2 linked regions of the Mytilus edulis genome follow. The protein of the gene in region 1 binds, or shares a complex with, the protein of each later gene. Links are inferred from orthologs where the notes say so. Each region holds a gene or a part of one and is shown on either strand. Other genes may lie near its edges.

Region 1 (9,458 bases):
GAAATTATGTTGCCGGTTCTGAACATGTTTCAAAAAAACAAAAAAATGCAAAAATTCTTCTAGTAAATGTTACCAACTATCCTTGTAAGACATAAATCTGGACCAACAGCTTAAAACTTTAAAGTGTCAACAAACAAAATTGAAAAATGTTGTTATGGGGCATTTTGTAAGTTGAAACAGAGGTTATAGGGCATTGAAGATTAAAAGTTTTAGAGTGCCTTTTGATCAATTTTTAAAGTATTTTTCAACACAGGGCATTGAAAATGTACTTTTTCAACGTAACCAATTAAAAAACTTATCTTATTAAATGTGGATTCTTTCTTGATTGCAAACATATGTATTCACTTCTAATAAAAATTCAAATGACTAAAATAGACATAAGGCAGCAACCATTTGATTTTCTGGGGGGGGCTATGGTTTTTTTTTTCTGGACAATTTTTTTTTTTCGCCTGTGGCGATAAACAATCTATTTTTTTCACGACAAATCGAAAACAATTTTTTTCTTTCAATTTTAGCATTTTAGCATTACATATAGTGGCAGCTGAGGGTGAAACAAACAATTTTTTTTTCTCAGAATCAAAAACAAATTATTTTTTTCTCCAAAAACTGGAAACAAACTTTTTTTTCCAAAAAAAACCATAGCCCCCCCCCCCCACTCCCCGAAAATCAAATGGTTGCTGCCTAATGATTGATGGGAAATAAACTTATAAACAATGGTTTGTTATAATTAAAAGTTTTAAAATTTTTAAGCTGTTTCAAGCCAATTCCTGATAAAAAAAAGTGTACTAATTTAATTGTTGATTAATTACAGATGATTATTGGAAATTTATCAAGTAAATTATAGGCCTTACTTGAATACCTTTTATTTATTCATATTTATATTCATATTTCATTTTTTTAAGATCTTGTTAATCCATTAATCATTTATCTTTCAGATATAATTTACAGAATCACTTTATGTAATGTAGATCAAAAGTAATTGGCAATAAATAAATCTATCATCCTTAATGCTTATAAATATCAAACATCTAATATACACATTTGTGTATTCAATTATGAGGTCAAATACTTGTGTATTAAGAATTATATTGAGTGGTCTGTATAATTATGTAAGACTGAGGTTGATAGGTAATGTGGTCAATTTGATTGGCAGTTTAGGAGGTGGGGCATTGTAATTAAAGGTTCACCTTGTCTCTGATTGTTTAGTGATAATGACAGTTGTCAATCATACTAGTTGAATCAATACCCAGTTACCTAATCAAAATGTTTTTTAAAAGCCTGCACATCAACACACCTTAATGACATACATTCTTGAATGAACTGCTCCAATAATATACCCAGTTTTTTTTCAGTTTATATGTGTATTATGTGCACATATATCAGAACCATAGGGAACTATATTTCAGTGTGAATACATTTAGTAACAGTAGCTAACCTGTCCTGTTGTTAGGGAGGCTGGTGCCTTAGTAAAGATTTAGAACAAGTTCTAATCTTTCCAAAAAAGTCAACCACGGAAATAAAAGTACTTTCACAGTATATGGATAACAATACTCAATAGTAGAATGGATTGGAAAATCAATGCACATCAGATTCCAAGAAAGTGTTTAATTTTCTAAAACCATGAAAACATAAATTGTATTTAACGTTTGTATGTTATGTATATACCTATATCTAAATTTTGTTGTTTAAACATGCTCATTTTTGTCAATACAAACAGGGATCTCCATGGATGAAAATTGAACGATGGAGGAACTTTCATCATTACAAACCGTGTCTACGCTGTACAGTGTAGCGCGATCGGAAGTATTTTATCCCTCCATACAAGGAATGGTGAACATGCTAATTCATTGCTTATTTAAATTATATTTATTTGAATTTCCATTATAGAATTAGAAGTATCAATATTTTCATTTATTTCCGTTTTTAACCATTTAAATGCCAAGTCTTCATGGTCCCCCCTTAGTCGAGAATGACCAAAAGCTGTCATGAAGGTCCCCATGTAGATTTCTTGTATTTTTGGTAATTGTTATGGGGGTTAAAAATCATATGATGTGGAGCTTATTTTTCATGGACACTGTCAAATTCAGAACCCATTACCGGTATGGCTGATTTGCAGCAACAAGAAAACGATTCGTACAAGTTATGTAAAAGGTTAAAGAGATTTGTAAAGCAAATGTTGACAAATGAAAAGGTTTTTAATGACTTTATCTGGCAAATTGATGCTTTGCAACATGCATCTTTCGAGTCTGAATAGAAACCAGAAACAGGTCATGGAGATCCCTGACAAATTTGAGTAAATAAAGATTTTTCTACTACTAAGCTTTCATAGGGTAAAATTAGGTCTTTTAATGAACCCATCAAAGCAGGGCAAAAAATCATATTAAGAAAACCATATTCTATTATCTAGAATTCTCATGAGCAAAATTTTTTTCTGCAATATTATTCTGTAATTAACACATCATGGATCATAAGTTGTTGTTTGGAGAAATCATTTATCAAATTGACTCAAAATTGGTGTCAGTTGTAGTAAAGCACAAAAATTTATAATTATTTTTTTTTGCAGTGCAGACCACAGCACATAGATGTGTTGTTTAAATCCAGATATATTCATATATATGCAACATTGTCTATTATAAAATTACTTAATTTCTGTGAATTTCTAATTTTTAGAATTGTAATGTTCAGTTTATAATTTGAATTAATTCAAGATTTCTAATGAAATTCAGCATACATTAAAAAGATTCCATTTTACATCATAAACTGATGAAGGATATGTTATCCTCACTATCAATCTTTTTTTGTATTTATTCAATGTTTCCTATTCTATCATTCTATAGCATGTATAGTTTTGGTGTTTTTGACAACTTTGTAGATGTATTACGGATTCATTATTATTGGTTGGATACCAATTTTCGTGGATTTCATGGGAACAGGTGAACCGTCACCTAATTAAATGTTCAACGAAAAACCTTATTTTCCATAGGCTTGTATGCAGCAGCATATTTTAGCAAAACCAGGAAATCAAGTATTCATGAACAAGTTTTCCTCGATCCACAAAAATAAATGAATCCAATGTCTAATTAATTTATTCATTGTGTACTGTACAGTATCAATCACTTTGACAAGTGATATGAAATATGTTCCTTATGTCGTAACTACAATCCCCTTCCCTTTTCACCAATGTGACCTACCCAATTAGACTATTTACCGGATTTGTAATAACATAAGCAACACGATGGGTGCAACATGTGGAGCAGGATTTGCTTACCCAACCGGAGCACCTGAGATCACCCCCAGTTTTTTGTGGGGTTTGTATTGATAGTCTTTATTATTTCTATGTTGTGTCTTGTGTACTATTGATTATCTTTTTTGACCATGGCTCTGTGAGTTTATTTTCAGTTGATGAGTATATTAACATGTACACTGTGATGAATATTGTTGTAATAACCAATTATATAAATCAATTGTATATGATTGTAAGCCTTTAATTTAGATATGAGCTCTGGTCTGTAATTTTATAGTGAAATTTGGGAAATACAAAATTATTTTCTAGTCTATGATTATCATGATTACCTACAATCATTGAAGGAATGTGATTCAAATCCTAAAAAATATGTTTGAAGATTAAAGAGGTCAAGATGTCTGTCATGTCAAGTCTAAACCACATAAGATTATAAATACTTTCATTGGCGGCATCTCATTTTCTATGATTTTTACAAAAATTATCAACCAGAAATGTGTTCTGAAAACGGTTATTACTGCACAGAAATGTTAAAAATCGGTTGGATTTGTTATATTCATATTGTTCTCTATGTCTGTATATTCATAAGAGTACGATTTATGCATATAAAATATATAAACGGACCATAAATAGGTCTGAGTCGCCTTTCGTTCACATCCACATGGCTACGAGAAGCCATTTTCAGGCAAATCTCGTTCTAACAAGTAGATCTCGTGAGTTTCTGTTTGCGGATTATTCTAAATGGTAAATGTTGTGAATTGTATTCTTTTACTTTATCTGTAAAAACATGTGCAATTAATTTTGTTTTTACTATAAGAAGTTAGAAATAACGACCTAAAAAGAGTGTTTATGATTATATTTTGACGACTACTTTAGATCTATTTTTTTAGTGGATTGCTCTATTCTAGTTGTTGATCGGCGCTTCCGGTTTCACTTTCACTTTGAAATTGATGTTGAGCAAAAATGTTGTGCAATGACATTAGTCATTTCAACAACATATATTCTGGAAAAACAACTAACTCAACAGATTTAATTCACAATGGATAGTTCACAGGGAGTCGGTGACATGACACTTGAAAAGCAGACGGAGGACACAGAAATTGAAAAATCTGATATGGCCTGCAGCATAAACTATTCTCAGTGTTTAGTACCAAAAGGTATAGACATTGCAAAATATATCCTTCAGAGGGATTCATGGCCTAGAGAAGGAAAGCATATCCTAGCACAGTATGATGATCGCAGTGTTATTGTGTATCAAGCATTTAATACAGCTATTGCTAAATATGCAGTACAAAATCAAAGGTAAACAAATTTCAAGATCAGTAAATTTTATGTAAAATGAGAAAAAGAAGCCTTAAGTGGTAATGAATGATTGTAAATTCTTGTGAAATATCCTTGCCTGTAGCAGTAACACTTTCACAAATTAAGTGAAGGATTGTTGAAGGCCATAAAGTGACCTTATTCATCATGTACATGTAGTTGTTAATTTCTCCATGTGGAGACTTGTCTCATTGGCAATCATACCACATCTTCTTTTTTATATTCAAGATTACATTTTTAAGCTGAATTTTTACAAACATTTTAGATTGATTCTAACAGGCCCAAAACATTTTTCAAGCCATGTTGGTCTGTTGGGCCTGTGGTGTTGATAGTAAATAGGATTTCATAGTCCACCTAGAAGCTGAACTTTTTAATACAACCCAAATTTTTTTCGTTCGAAACATATAACATGCATAATGGTTTCAGGACAATAACTTTAGTTTTTAAAGTGAATGGATCTCTATGAAGTTTTACCAGAAGGTTCAATACCACATAAAAAAGGTTGGGATATACATGTATTTATACAGTGTTATAGTAATAACCGTTGGGGAATTAGGGACCAAAAATTGGACCAAAACAAGCATGTTTGTAGTTTCTGGACAATCACTTTTGTGTGAGTGTATGTAGATCTCTCTGAAATTGAACCACAAGGTTCCATATCAATAGCACAGTGTTAGGCAATAGCAAGAAATCTTCAATTGCTCAGTATCATGAGCATTGCTCAATAGTAAGAAATCATCAATTCTGAAACAGCACAGTTTTGCACAACTGCACAGTATTGAGCAATAGCAAGAAATATTCAATTGCACAGTATTGCCTTATACACATGTACACTTTAGCAAGAAATCTTCAATTGAAAATAAATACAAATCTTTTAACCAATTCAAGGGATTAATTTAAGATATTTAATTGTTTGTTTTTTTTACCTTGTACATGTATTACTATTTTGGATATTGGGCCCCATTTTTAAATTAGTCTACATTGAGGTGAAAAAAGTTTGACATGTCTGAGTTTGACATTACTATAGAATTTTTTCTCAGAATTTTTCTGTGGATATTATTATTTTACATTGTTTTACAAATGTTTTAAGTGATCAACATTTGTTCTATTTTACTAATTTTACCATTTCTACATAAACATACACAGATACATGTATTCTTATTAATCCCAACAATTTATGAATTTTAAGGAACATTACATTTATTGGTGTTCTTCATCTTCAAACCAGATCAAGTTTTTCTGGCAGTGAAGGCTGAGCTACAATATCAACTGAAAATGGTTACATGGAGATACACTGATTGATATTTTCACAAGCAAGAACAATGACTTAGGCTTACATGAATGACGTCATACAATCTAGTTTACTTAATTGAGGAAATCAGATACCACTCTAGAGTTTGTGAAAAGTGATGGTCCTAAGGATTTGACCACCAAAATTTTACAAAGGACGGACACAATTTTAGTATTTTGCATTAGAAATAATAGTGAGGACCAGCATATTTTCTTCAAGGACCACCAGGGAGGGGAAAAAAGTTTTTGCAAACCCTGCCACTCAATTATTAGCTTAAGATTGAAAATTATCTTCTAGAAATATCATTTAGAGGTATAATCATTGAAAGAATGGTTGTACATTATTGTGAATCATGTATATCCCTGTGTTCGTTACTGTGCCAATAGAGTTACAATAACATCTGACATCTGGTCCTTCCAATAGACAAATGATTGCCTTCTAAGAAACTGTTTAAATACACAGCCATACAATTAAATAATAATCACGATCATGTCATGCATGTCATTTAATTGTTTGTAGATTTGGTGGGGAACAATTCAGTTATGAAAGAATGTCATGGATAAAAACTAATTTTCTGTGGATGATGTATCGTTGTGGATGGGCAAGCAAGAACAACCAACAAAGAGTTTTAGCAGTTAGAATTAGTCGTCATGGATTTGAGAAAATATTGGCCAATGCCTTTACAGTAAAAGTATGCTAAAATAAGTCAATAGATATTAAAAGATGTGGTATGAATGCCAATGCGACAACTCTCCATCCAAGTCACAATTTATGAAAGTAAATCATTATAGGTCAATGTAATGTTGTATATACATGTATATATTTCAGTGAGACAGCAACCCAAAATTTAACAAAAGATCCAATAGACATCTACAACAGATCAGGTCAACCTTCAAATGGATGTAGGAAAGCAATAATTAAGCAACTGTCATTCATACAGGCCATTCATTAGGAGGCAGTACCCGGTACTTTTACCCTCCTATGCTATTGACAAGTACCGCCTAAATGTAGGAATTTTTATATAAGATACTCATGGAATAAATTGAAAAATACCACCTAGAAACGTGGAAAGTACCAGTCAACATGAAAGATAATGAAGCCTCTGGAATCATATACTGTAGATTCATTGATTATATATATTATATTGAGGTGTTGATTACGGAAAATTGTATTTCTGGGATACTAAATTTTGTGGTCTTACACAAGTCTGCATGTTTAACCTTTAGAAAAATTTATACTTCATTGAATTTAGGGTTCAGATGTAGGCATTTAGTTATTGCATGTCCTATGAAATCCACAAAGATTGGTTACTATCCACTGAATATTGATGAATCCACAGTATACTATTTTATCGCTATTTTGTTCATTTTTCTTTTGATCTTTTTTTTGTGATAATTTTCATATCATGCTTCTCGCTTGAGATGGAAACTTAGGTGGCCATGTGGCGTTGCTAACAAAATTGACATGAAATTGATGCGTCATAGGTAAAATAGCGATAAACAGATTATCATTGGTCATCTCAACTGGATTGCTTTTCTCACTTTCGCTGTACCAGCTCAAGGGAGAAAATCAGTCTCGTTGAGATGATCAACGATAATCTATAAATATCAGAGATATTGAACTATTTCAGATGATCATAATGATGATATGTTCAAACCTACAAAGTCAGATTGGAGAAGCATGGACTATTCAAAATGCAATGTATTGCTACATAAAAACTGAAAATTTTGAGAGATCACTCAAAAATAAGGAAGAATCCACAGTGTACTTCACTATAACAATTCAACATATTGCTACTGCATGTATATGATGTATACACATTTTGTTGCTTTGAAGGTCATGATGTATACACATATTGTTGCTTTGAAGGTCATGATGTATACACATATTGTTGCTTTGAAGGTTATGATGTATACACATATTGTTGCTTTGAAGGTCATGATGTATACACATTTTGTTGCTTTGAAGGTCATGATGTATACACATATTGTTGCTTTGAAGGTTATGATGTATACACATATTGTTGCTTTGAAGGTCATGATGTATACATATTTTGTTGCTTTGAAGGTCATGATGTATACACATATTGTTGCTTTGAAGGTAATGATGTATACATAAATTGTTGCTTTGAAGGTCATGATGGTAGAAAATTAAGTATGTTCAGGAAAAAAAATCTTCAATTATACCAACATCCCAAATTAATCAATTCTAGGCATTGAAGAAAATTTGCAGTACCGGTATCGGTATATATATTTTATTTTTGTCTTTATAGTTTCAAAGAGAACAGAAATTACAAACCGACGAGATAAGTGTACGACTACAATGGGATCCTGATCATTCTCCTACATATGATAAACTTCCAAGAAAAGCCATACAACTTGGATTAAAAGGGGAGGTAAGCATGATCATGTCAAAGGTGTTATTGTGATGTATTTGGCCATGTTGACATTCCTTGTTTTAATCAGTCAGGGGTACTATTTGTATAAAATGTTTTTATACGACCGCAAAATTTGAAAATTTTTTCGTCGTATATTGCTATCACGTTGGCGTCGTCGTCTTCGTCGTCGTCGTTGTCGTCGTCGTCGTCCGAATACTTTTAGTTTTCGCACTCTAACTTTAGTAAAAGTGAATGGAAATCTATGAAATTTTAACACAAGGTTTATGACCACAAAAGGAAGGTTGGTATTGATTTTGGGAGTTTTGGTCCCAATATTTTAGGAATTAGGGGCCAAAAAGGGCCCAAATAAGCATTTTCTTGGTTTTCGCACTATAACTTTAGTTTAAGTTAATAGAAATCTATGAAATTTTGACACAAGCTTTATGACCACAAAAGAAAGGTTGGGATTGATTTTGGGAGTTTTGGTTTCAACAGTTTAGGAATTAGGGGCCAAAAAAGGGCCCAAATAAGCATTATTCTTGGTTTTCGCACAATAACTTTAGATTAAGTAAATAGAAATCAATGAAATTTAAACACAATGTTAATGACTACAAAAGGAAGGTTGGTATTGATTTTGGGAGTTTAGGTCCAAACAGTTTAGGAATTAAGGGCCAAAAAGGGACCCAAATAAGCATTTTTCTTGGTTTTCGCACCATAACGTTAGTATAAGTAAATAGAAATCTATGAAATTTAAACACAAGGTTTATGACCATAAAAGGAAGGTTGGTATTGATTTTGGGAGTTGTGGTCCCAACATAATAAGGGGCCCAAAGGGTCCAAAATTAAACTTTGTTTGATTTCATCAAAATTGAATAATTGGGGTTCTTTGATATGCCGAATCTAACTGTCATGACTGTGTATGTAGATTCTTAACTTTTGGTCCCGTTTTCAAATTGGTCTACATTAAGGTCCAAAGGGTCCAAAATTAAACTTAGTTTGATTTTGACAAAAAATGAATCAGTTAGGTTCTTTGATATGCTGAATCTAAAAATGTACTTAGATTCTTGATTATTGGCCCAGTTTTCAAGTTGGTCCAAATCGGGGTCCAAAATTAAACTTTGTTTGATTTCATCAAAAATTGAATAAATGGGGTTCTTTGATATACCAAATCTAACTGTGTATGTAGATTCTTCATTTTTGGTCCTGTTTTCAAATTGGTCTACACTAAA
Region 2 (9,595 bases), on another chromosome or scaffold:
AGTCCAAGGTCAGTGGGTCAGATACTTGAGTATACATGAATTAACTTGTGGACAAATTGCTATATCCAATTATTGTATGTATCTGAGATATTCAAATACAGTGAAACTTGGCTAAACTGAATCCTGCATAAACAGAAAACCTGTATAAAATTAAACTCAACATGTTCTTTAGCACCATCATATCAAATTGTATGCGTTGTGAATCTGATAAAAACCAAACATCGGCCCAAACCGAAACAAAATCTTAAGTCACTTGAAAGTTCAGTTTAAACAGGTCAGGTTTCTTTGTACTATTAGTTACATAGTGTGCTAGTGACCTAATACGGTATATATGGGGTCAGTAAATTCCATATGGGGTGAGAGCGAAGCTCGAATCCCCATATGGAATTTACTGACCCCATATATACCGTATTACGTCACTAGCACACTATGTAACGAATTTATCTTACCGACTATCTTCACGTGTGAAATTAAGAGTGATTCTCAAAACGAGCAAGTCTTCAATACTGTTAGCGCTAGGAAAATACTTCCATTAATCCTACAAAAACAGATGCCAACAATAACGACTTGTAAGGTTTAAATGTGTTTTATGAATTTGTTTCAATCTGAATCATCAATTTCTTCGTCTGTTGGAACTTTTAAGATTTTTTCTCAGAACCGTTTTGTTTTTTACAAAGGGACATAACACCATTACTAACCGTGTATTAAATAAGGCCCGCCCCCTTCTTACCAAATAAGGAATATAAAGGGACGTAACTCCACTACTAACCGTGTATGAGATAAACCCCGCCTCCCTACTAACCTAATATCAAATATACACGGTTTGCACACGGACGCTTTTAACCAATCATATTCCTGGAAATGTATAGGAGGTAAGATAATTAGAAATACTCTTACCAATGGGCAAATTATGAGAAAATGTACTTACTATATCCCATAATTTGTCCAGCCGGCGATTCAGCAACTTGGAAGTACTCTGGCCAGTGAGCAAGGTACTGCATGTAAAATGGTAAGCCATACTGAGAGTGTCAAGGAATAAAAACAAATCTAGATAAATAGTAACAACTCAGTGACAACATAAACTTCAGTTCCCATATCTGGACTTTACTTAATAACCTTACCATTCAATCATTCTGGTCAGTGATCAAAGAAGTATTTTTTTTACTGTTGCGTTGATTACAATTACAGGAAAAAGCTTTTGTTTTACAGTCATGACAGTAATGACCATTATTACATTAACTTGAAATATATGTGTATGTCTTGAATAAAAGAAAGGTAAAATTTTACTTATACGTACATTTGTGCCAATTACATGTAAGGACTATGATGGTTATATTCAACTAAATGCCTTTTCGAATAAAGATCTGGATACAATTAATTAGTTATATAAAAATATAAAGTTTTGTAGATGTGTTATTTTAGATTCTTTGTACAATTTTGAAGTGTACAAAATGTATATAAACTACAAAATCATCATAGTCACATGTAGGTCAGAACAATTTATTACATGTACCAAATAAGAACCTTTCTAAACCTCTATTGTATGTCTAGGCATTGAGTATTTAATACAGGTCCTTGGTGTACAAATATACTGTGAGTTAAGCATATAGACAATACTATACTGTTTCAAATTTGAAAAGAAAGTTATATTGCAATTGCAGTAAATGTCCCAGTTTATTTTGGTCTGAATGGTTCTCCTCAAGGTCTGTGTCCAAGGCAAGGCAATGTTCATGTCCATCAATAATTGTATTTTAATACAACATAATTGAATCATATGTAACTTCAATCTCTTCAAATTAGGAGAAAAGCTCCTATTTTCTCTTTATTTCTGAAGCTACATGCATACATAGATACATTGTATAGGAAGATGTGGTGTGAGAATGTTTAGTACAACATTTTTGGGGGTTTAAAAACACAGAAGAGGCATATCAATTTCATTCTGTTCTTGGTATGAAGGATACAGTTTCTGTCAGTGGATCTAAATTCCTGCAAAATAATATCAAAATTTAATCCTTTCAATCTAATTTGTAGCATCCATTATCGATTTTATTAGAACTGTTTGTTGAACATGTTGAATATCGAATGGAACAAAACATTTCAAGCATTTAGCAGGTGTAGTATCATTTAAAAATACTACCTACTTAATCAATCTGAACAAACAAAAAACAAAATATATTTATTATTCCTTAGAAATATAAACAGAGGAAACTTTACAAAATATCCCTCATTTTGGGGGTCTCTAAAAAATCCCTAAAAATCAGAACAGGTCAATATTTCTGGGCAAACCCTTCTATTTTTTAATTGTTTGCTGTAGAAATACTGAAAAAAGATATAATCAACATACTATTATAAAATAAGGATGCTGAAATTACTACATCACTACACCAAGTACACTGAATGAGGGTACATTTGTAGTAGTTCCCTTTACCGTCAGATGCAAACAGTCATTTTCACCTATCGTTAGCGTCAAATTGGTTAAAATTTTACTGTGATTTGTCAAAACATCCTATTAAATTGTGATTCATCTCAAATAATTATCTCTACCGTTATTTTTGGAATTTTTTTTACAAGATTTATCAAAATTAAGCGATTTCTTATCATCTAAAAGAAAGTGCACATTTAATTATCACCAAAACATACTGTTTACATCATTTGGCAATAAATTTATTATTTGTTTTCATGAGAAAGTATTCCAATTACCACACTCCTAAAATTAGAGGTGGAAACGTGAATGCATGGAATGGGCAAACATGTCTGCCAGGGTATCAGGTCCGTTCGCGCCCAATACACTTTCGCATCTCGCACGTTGCACCCAAGGTCCGTTCGCACTCTACACATTCGCGCCCAATTTTAATTCAAATTCCAGTTGAATAATTGGAAAATCATGATATTTGTTTTAAATTGCTTTGGTGTAAATACTGAATGTATTTATAGCTTGGTATGAGTAAAACATTGAAGATTTTAAATGAATAACACAAAAGATAATTGTTTTTAACTGCTTGGTCCCTTTGATCTGAAACAATGAAACAACAAAATATAGAAATATTATAACCAAAACATGATAAAAATTTTTCAACACACAGACAGAATCTCACTTTATTTTGAAACAAGTCAATGCAACAAAGTTATAGAAATACACTGACCAAAACATGATTAACTAACAGTTATTCAACACAAAATAAAGCGTTGACAGAATCCCACTTTATTTAGAAAGGATTATTATTTTTTTTTAACAATACATATCCAAAACATGATGAAGATTCATTCAACACCAAAAAAAATGCTGTTTCACTTTATCAGTTTGAGACTATGACAACAATTATACTTACAAGAATACACTTGCCAAAACTTGATCATGTTGATTACAAAGTTATTAAACACAAAACAAATTAAAATTGGGCGCGAACGGACTTTGGGTGCTGTAGGGTGCGAAAGTGAAAGGGGGCGAATATGAGTGGGTGCGAACGTGAATGGGCACGAACGGACCCAGATTTGTCTGCCAGGGCGAACAGACCAAGATTCCATTAGCTGTAACTTTTTTGTCATATATATAGGATAGAGAACGCCATTGACAGTTAAATGTCGTATGATCCTCTAAACAATCCCTTGAGATTTATATCATATATTTTATTTCACATTTAGATAAATTATCATATTTACATGATAAATAATAAAAAAAAAAGTCAAACACATTAAAAAGGATAAAGTGACACTGACAGAACTGGTTACCATTGTAAAGCCTATACTTACACATTATTAAATCTAAATAAGTCGTCACAAGTAAACGGACGAATAGTCGTCATCCCTAAGAAGGACAGGGAGCTCGGACAGGTGCCCGACCGGCCTAAAAATAAAACCGGAAGTTAATTCATGCAAGTTTTGATAAAAAGATAGATTTATTATTTCCATTGTGATTACCTGTATCTAGATTAAAGCTTATGTAATATAATCTATCATGCTGTAATTTAATTATTCATATTTTAATATTTTGTTTGTGAAAAGGAATTAGTATTTATTACATTTCAAAGGTAACTTTTGTTGTGTTTAGAATTCTTATTTCTTTATTCATAGCCTAAAATTGAAAATTCAAACATCCGGTCGTGTTACTGACCAAGCTCCTTTTTAAAAAATCGTTGCTATGATTTCGAAATAAGTAACTAGTCCTGCATTGAACACCAGGTTTGATAATTAACATACACTAGGTAAACCTTATGCATATTCATAAATCTTACTTCACATTGCACTAATAAGCTGATTAAAAAATCACAACAAAGTCAACATGCCTGATCACGTTTATCGAGTTTGATTTGATTAGTATTTGTGTTTATATTATTTACAGTTGTGCATATCTCACACTTAAACCATTTATTGTTGCATATATAGGTAAGATTACCATTGCTTGCATTCATCATTCATGTCATTTCAAACATAAAACATTTATCATGATCTTTTAAATGAAATGAACAGGAATTTGAAAGGTGTCAATTGAAGAAAAATATGATAGTAAAATGCATTTTTTTCAATTTCTATTTTTCTAAACATGCTAAATATTTTAGCATCTTTTGTCTAAACAAATGTAGATTTTTGTGTATAATCTTCTTCTTCAAGGTAAGGAACCGAATTCAAATCTTGAATGTATGAGGTCCCGCGAAAACTAACGCAATGTCGGACAACACAGAAAGTTTTCTCTTGGCTATTTACAGGATAAAACGTTCTCTATATATATACAATTAAAACTATGTACAGGATGTTACTGTCTAAATTTTAGCAGAGCATGCCTTCAGGGCAGCTCTGAATCCATCAACTGTGTCAGCTGATGTTGCGGATGTTGGCAGTTGGTTCCAGTCTCTAATGGTCCTTGGAAAAAATGATTGTCCGAAGGCGTCTGTTGTGGCCCTTTCTTGGAAGAAGCGGGTTTTACCTCTGGTCCGGCTATCGTTTGGCGTTAGATATTGGTGCCTATCTATGTCTATCAGATCATGTTGGATTTTGAATAGCATGCATAGCCTATTTTGTTTCCTGCGGTCTTCAAGGCTTTCCCATTTTAAAGATGTTACTATTTTTGTTACACAGCCAGGTGTGCGGTCTGTGTAGTTGTTGTTGACAAATCTAGCTGCTCTTTTCTGTACCTGCTCTATTGCTTTTATTTTAGCCTGTTTCGTAGGGTCCCATTACTGTGCTAGCATACTCAATTGAAGGTCTTACTATTGTTGAATATGCTGCTGCTTTGACCGGTTTAGTGCAATCTTTAAGGTTACGTCGTATGAAACCTAATGTTTTGTTTCCTTTTCCTTCTATGTTGTCGATGTGTCTGTCCCAGGTTAGATTATTGCTGATAGTAACTCCCAGGTATTTACTAGCTTCAACGGTGTCCAGTGTGTGTCCGTGTAATTTGTAATTAGTTGGTATTACAGGACGGTTCTTGGGTTGTATTCTAATTACAATGCAGTTTTTTGGGCCACAATTAAAAATATTTCAGTTTGCCCAAACCCGACCCAAGATGACTGGGTGTGGGTAGGTAGGTAGGCAAATTCTTTTTTTTTTCAGAATTTGCATGAAAATATTAAAAGATCTTAAAACAGTACATCTTTTTTTCCCGTTAAACCTTTGTAGAGTCAACCAAAAGCCATGAATTTAAAACCTCTATAAATAAATTAGTCTACTATATGATTTGTATCCTGAGATGTTTATAACCCTGACAATTGCTAAATGTGTGAAAGGGCTGGTGGATTTATGAAGTGATTTTCAACAGTTACATCAACAAGATGTTTGTGTAAAAAAAAATATCAGCTGACTATGTAATGATTTAATTTGTTTGCAGTTTTTAAATCCTATATCTTTTAAAATAGATTAAATGTCCTAAAATATTTTATATGAACTATTATCTACCATCCATAGTTTCTGTCTTTTTATGTTTTGACAACAAATTTATATTTTTACATTATCACACAGGTAAACTAATTTGGCCATAAATAGATCAAAACATGTTCTGTAGAATCTCCAAACCAAAAACGTATTTGTTATAATTTTATTTCTTTAAATAATCAAGTTTTTTTTTTTTTAAATAATCATTATTGATAAAATATAATTGCATAAAGTTAACGTTTTCTGGAGACTATTTATTTTTAGGTCATGGTTCTAGAGGCTTCCTCACAAATTTGTATAAAAATCCAACCATAACATGTGTTTGTAACTTTTGCACATGTGAAAAAAATATTTCTGACAAAAGCCAGATTTTTCTTGTCAAAGGGGATTTACATTGCACTAAATTATTCAGAAAGAGTTACATTCAGTTAAGATTATATTTCTGATTCTGTGAGCAATTATAGTTTAATCAAATTCTCCCAAACAGCAACGTATCTTGTCAAAAAAAGAGGGACGACAGATACCAAAGGGGCAGTCAAACTCATAAATCTAAAACAAACTGACAACGCCATGGCTAAAAATGAAAAAGACAAACAGAAAAACAATAGTACACATGACACAACATAGAAAACTAAAGAATAAACAACACGAACCCCACCAAAAACCAACTGTCAACTGAGACTTGTAAATTTGAACTATTTGAATAAAAGGGCATCTAATTCACATGATAACGGAAGATTATAATTTAAGACAACAATTTTTCAAGAAGTAATTCCTTTTTATTCAGTAAAAACAAAATCTTTTTGCAAGATTGTAAATTCGCAACTTCCGGATCCATTTCCTGTCAGAGTAACATTGAAAATATTCGATTGCACATGGTTTTGAACAAATCTACCTGAATATTCTTATCAGATATTCGATTACACGATGAAATTAACATTGAGCATATAGGTAAGGGTTTGTTAGTACATGTACAGACAACAACAGCGTAAAAAAACTGTGCCACTTCACATGTTTCACTTCTTTACGTTCGTTAAATCAGAAGATAAAAACAGAGAACATCGAAGATCGATTAACTGCGTCTCTTATGCGCTTTCTTTTAATCATATTCACAGTTACTTTCAAACGCAAAGACGACCAACATTAAGTTTTATACAATGACGGAGCGGACATGAAAAGAATCCGCAAAAAAAAAAAATTCTTCTAAAAAACGTCAAAAAAAGAATTTGAGTCGGCGGGTTTATTTTGGGTCGGTCGCGTTTGGGCAAACATACAATCTTTTTATTTTGGCCTTGCATTGAAGCTCATTTGCCACTTATCTTCCCAATCCTCTAATGATGTGAGATCTTTCTGTAGTAGGTCACTTTCTGCTTGGTTACTGATAGTTCGATAGATAATGATATACATAAATATAAGAAGATGTGGAATGAGGACCAATGAGTCAACATTCCATATAACTCCAAGTCACAATTTGTAAAAGTTATCCATAATGCATTATAGGTCAAAGTACGGTCTTCAACACAGAGCCTTTGCTCACACCAAATATACATCTTTACTCATATAATAGTTGATATGAGGCAGGCATGACCTGTGAACATGGTGAATGGGGATGAAGTCTGTACTTTTAAAAAAAAAATCGAGCATGTTGATAAAAGAAACTGAAATACCGTAACATTTCCGATACTGGTTCTGTTGTCAGGGGTTTAAGTTATGACGTCATATTCAATGTAAACAAAGAATGTTGTTATCAGGTAACATTTTTTTCATATCAAACAATTATTTAAAATTATTGGGTGTTGAATTCCTTCCTTTAGGCTATACAGTGCTCTCCCCAGATATTTCATTTAGCATCCTGGGTTACAGGGGAAATTGAACATGTTGAAATACAATTATGTATCTGAAAATTATAGCATCACATCCATAACACTACCTATAAGAGAACCATTTCAGATAGCATCACATTTAAGATTATAGCATCACATACCCATGATGCTAAAAGGCCCTGGGCAGAACACTGCTCTATTTGTTGATATGTTGATAAATATACATTTTATTCAAAGTCTCATGCAAACAAGACCGGAACAGGAAGTAGAACTGAAAAAAAAAGTTAACGATTTTGACTTCATTAGTAGAAATTTTTTATTTTTTTTTATTGATTTTTCTACCGTAATTCGGGACTTCGTCCCCATATTATTATATTACTATCTTAAGATACCATAATCAGGTGTATTTTAAACTATGCATGATTTCAAAATAATCCATGTGGGATTTAAAACATTATTTTCTTTTTAATAGGTTAGCTTGGTTAAAAATGGCATTTTCTGAAGATCCTGTGTATGTGTCTTTGGACCAGAAGTTTGACAAAGTTTTGGCAGATATGAAGCCATATGTATTGAAGCTACCACACAAAACAGGTAATATTAATGTAGATTTTAAAACGTTATTAAACAATGTTTTGGCAAAAATTTATTTCTTATTTGCATTGCTTTTATAATTATCATGATTATAAACTGTTTAAAGTATTTTTCTTTTGCTATGACTTGTTAGATAGACATGATTTGTAGAACTAATGTATTTACTGCATTTGCGTATGTAATATTTGTTTTAATGATTATGTGCAATAAGGGCATATACATGTACACTACATTTTGTTTGGATCTCATTATTTTTACGATGAAGATAATGGAGCCCAACTCCTGTGACGTTCAATCAAGTTTATCCTCTGGCTGTTAGTGTTAATGTATATGCCTTCAACATTACAAACTGTTGGAAAATAAAAAGTTTGTCTGTTCATATCTCAGGTCACAAATATTAAAAGCTAATTTTCACAGTCTTAAAAGTCATATGATATGTCAATTTACCTAGATTGTCATGATTATGTCCAATTCACTATCCCTTTTAGCTGGGTGATTCATTCAATTGAGAGTGGTGCACACATGTTTGTATATTCAAAATATGTTTACGAGTTTTGAACATCTGTCAACCTCTGTTGTCTCTTATTATTCACTTTAGATTTCTTAGGTTTAAATTCTATTATGTATACAATCACTGCAGTGTCCATGTATATATATGTACATGTCACATGGTGTGTAATTTCCACTTTTATATTGAGCAGACCAGTCAACTAGAGATGGTAAATCAATCCATATGTTTCAAAAATAAATGTCTTCCTCATAGTCCTTTTTAGCTGGTCTGGAAAAGATTGTGTACAAATAAAATCAAACTAGTATTATGGTATTATGTACTTAAATAAAATTATATTAGATCTATCTTATTGTAAAAAGTTTTGAAATTTGAAATATTTTTGGTATTACATTCCTGTTAATTTCAGTAATTTTTACTTGAAAGGAGTAGGTCCAGTAAGACCCCTTTTTGGCCCCAAAATATGGCGGTTTTACAAAATTGTTAAAATGTAAACTTTTAGTCATTTATTGGACAGTAGAATGGTTCTGCTACATAAATATGGGCTGTTTTTGACAATACAACAGGGCTCACACTACTTCAGAATTATAGGGAGAAGTGACTTCTCTTTTTGAAAATGATAGGGAGAAGTGGTGAGATTTGAAAGAGAAGTGCTCATTCGTGCGGTGCGCTACAATGTTTGGATTTTACTATAGTATAAACGGTCATATGTAAATAATGTTCTTTTTATATTATTCAATTCATATCTGAGTATACAATTAAAGTAACATTTCAAATTAAAAGTTATTTAAGTTTAACTAAGGTTTTG

The links.
Region 2: the proteins of N-alpha-acetyltransferase 25, NatB auxiliary subunit-like (region 1) and N-alpha-acetyltransferase 20-like are in contact, whole or in part, in a cryo-EM structure (PDB 7STX), measured with the Homo sapiens proteins. The link is inferred for Mytilus edulis from reciprocal best matches to the Homo sapiens genes NAA25 and NAA20. Residues at the interface, in NP_079229.2 of Homo sapiens: Ser226, Glu227, Ile228, Asn259, Asp261, Asp262, Trp263, Gln264, Arg318, Arg321, Leu325, Lys362, Pro363, Cys364, Thr367, Asp368, Val371, Leu457, Thr459, Glu460, Leu461, Ser504, Ala506, Leu510, Leu532, Asp533, Lys535, His536, Ile537, Gln538; in NP_057184.1 of Homo sapiens: Thr2, Thr3, Leu4, Arg5, Thr8, Cys9, Asp10, Leu12, Phe13, Phe15, Asn16, Asn19, Leu20, Pro22, Leu23, Thr26, Tyr27, Gly28, Ile29, Pro30, Leu33, Gln34, Leu36, Ala37, His38, Pro40, Glu41, Pro49, Glu52, Met54.

What each region holds. Positions count from the first base shown.
Region 1 is NC_092349.1:22,081,357-22,090,814, reverse strand, and holds the start of N-alpha-acetyltransferase 25, NatB auxiliary subunit-like, read right to left. Parts: upstream 3,948-9,458; 5' UTR 3,921-3,947; coding exon 3,866-3,920; intron 1-3,865. Other genes in the region: uncharacterized protein, read left to right, coding at 4,281-4,543, 6,372-6,543, 8,125-8,247. UniProt on the Homo sapiens protein: Non-catalytic subunit of the NatB complex which catalyzes acetylation of the N-terminal methionine residues of peptides beginning with Met-Asp, Met-Glu, Met-Asn and Met-Gln. May play a role in normal cell-cycle progression.
Region 2 is NC_092346.1:35,473,241-35,482,835, reverse strand, and holds the start of N-alpha-acetyltransferase 20-like, read right to left. Parts: upstream 3,890-9,595; 5' UTR 3,804-3,889; coding exon 3,751-3,803; intron 1,987-3,750; coding exon 1,962-1,986; intron 1,020-1,961; coding exon 929-1,019; intron 1-928. Other genes in the region: centrosomal protein of 112 kDa-like, read left to right, coding at 8,177-8,279. UniProt on the Homo sapiens protein: Catalytic subunit of the NatB complex which catalyzes acetylation of the N-terminal methionine residues of peptides beginning with Met-Asp, Met-Glu, Met-Asn and Met-Gln. Proteins with cell cycle functions are overrepresented in the pool of NatB substrates.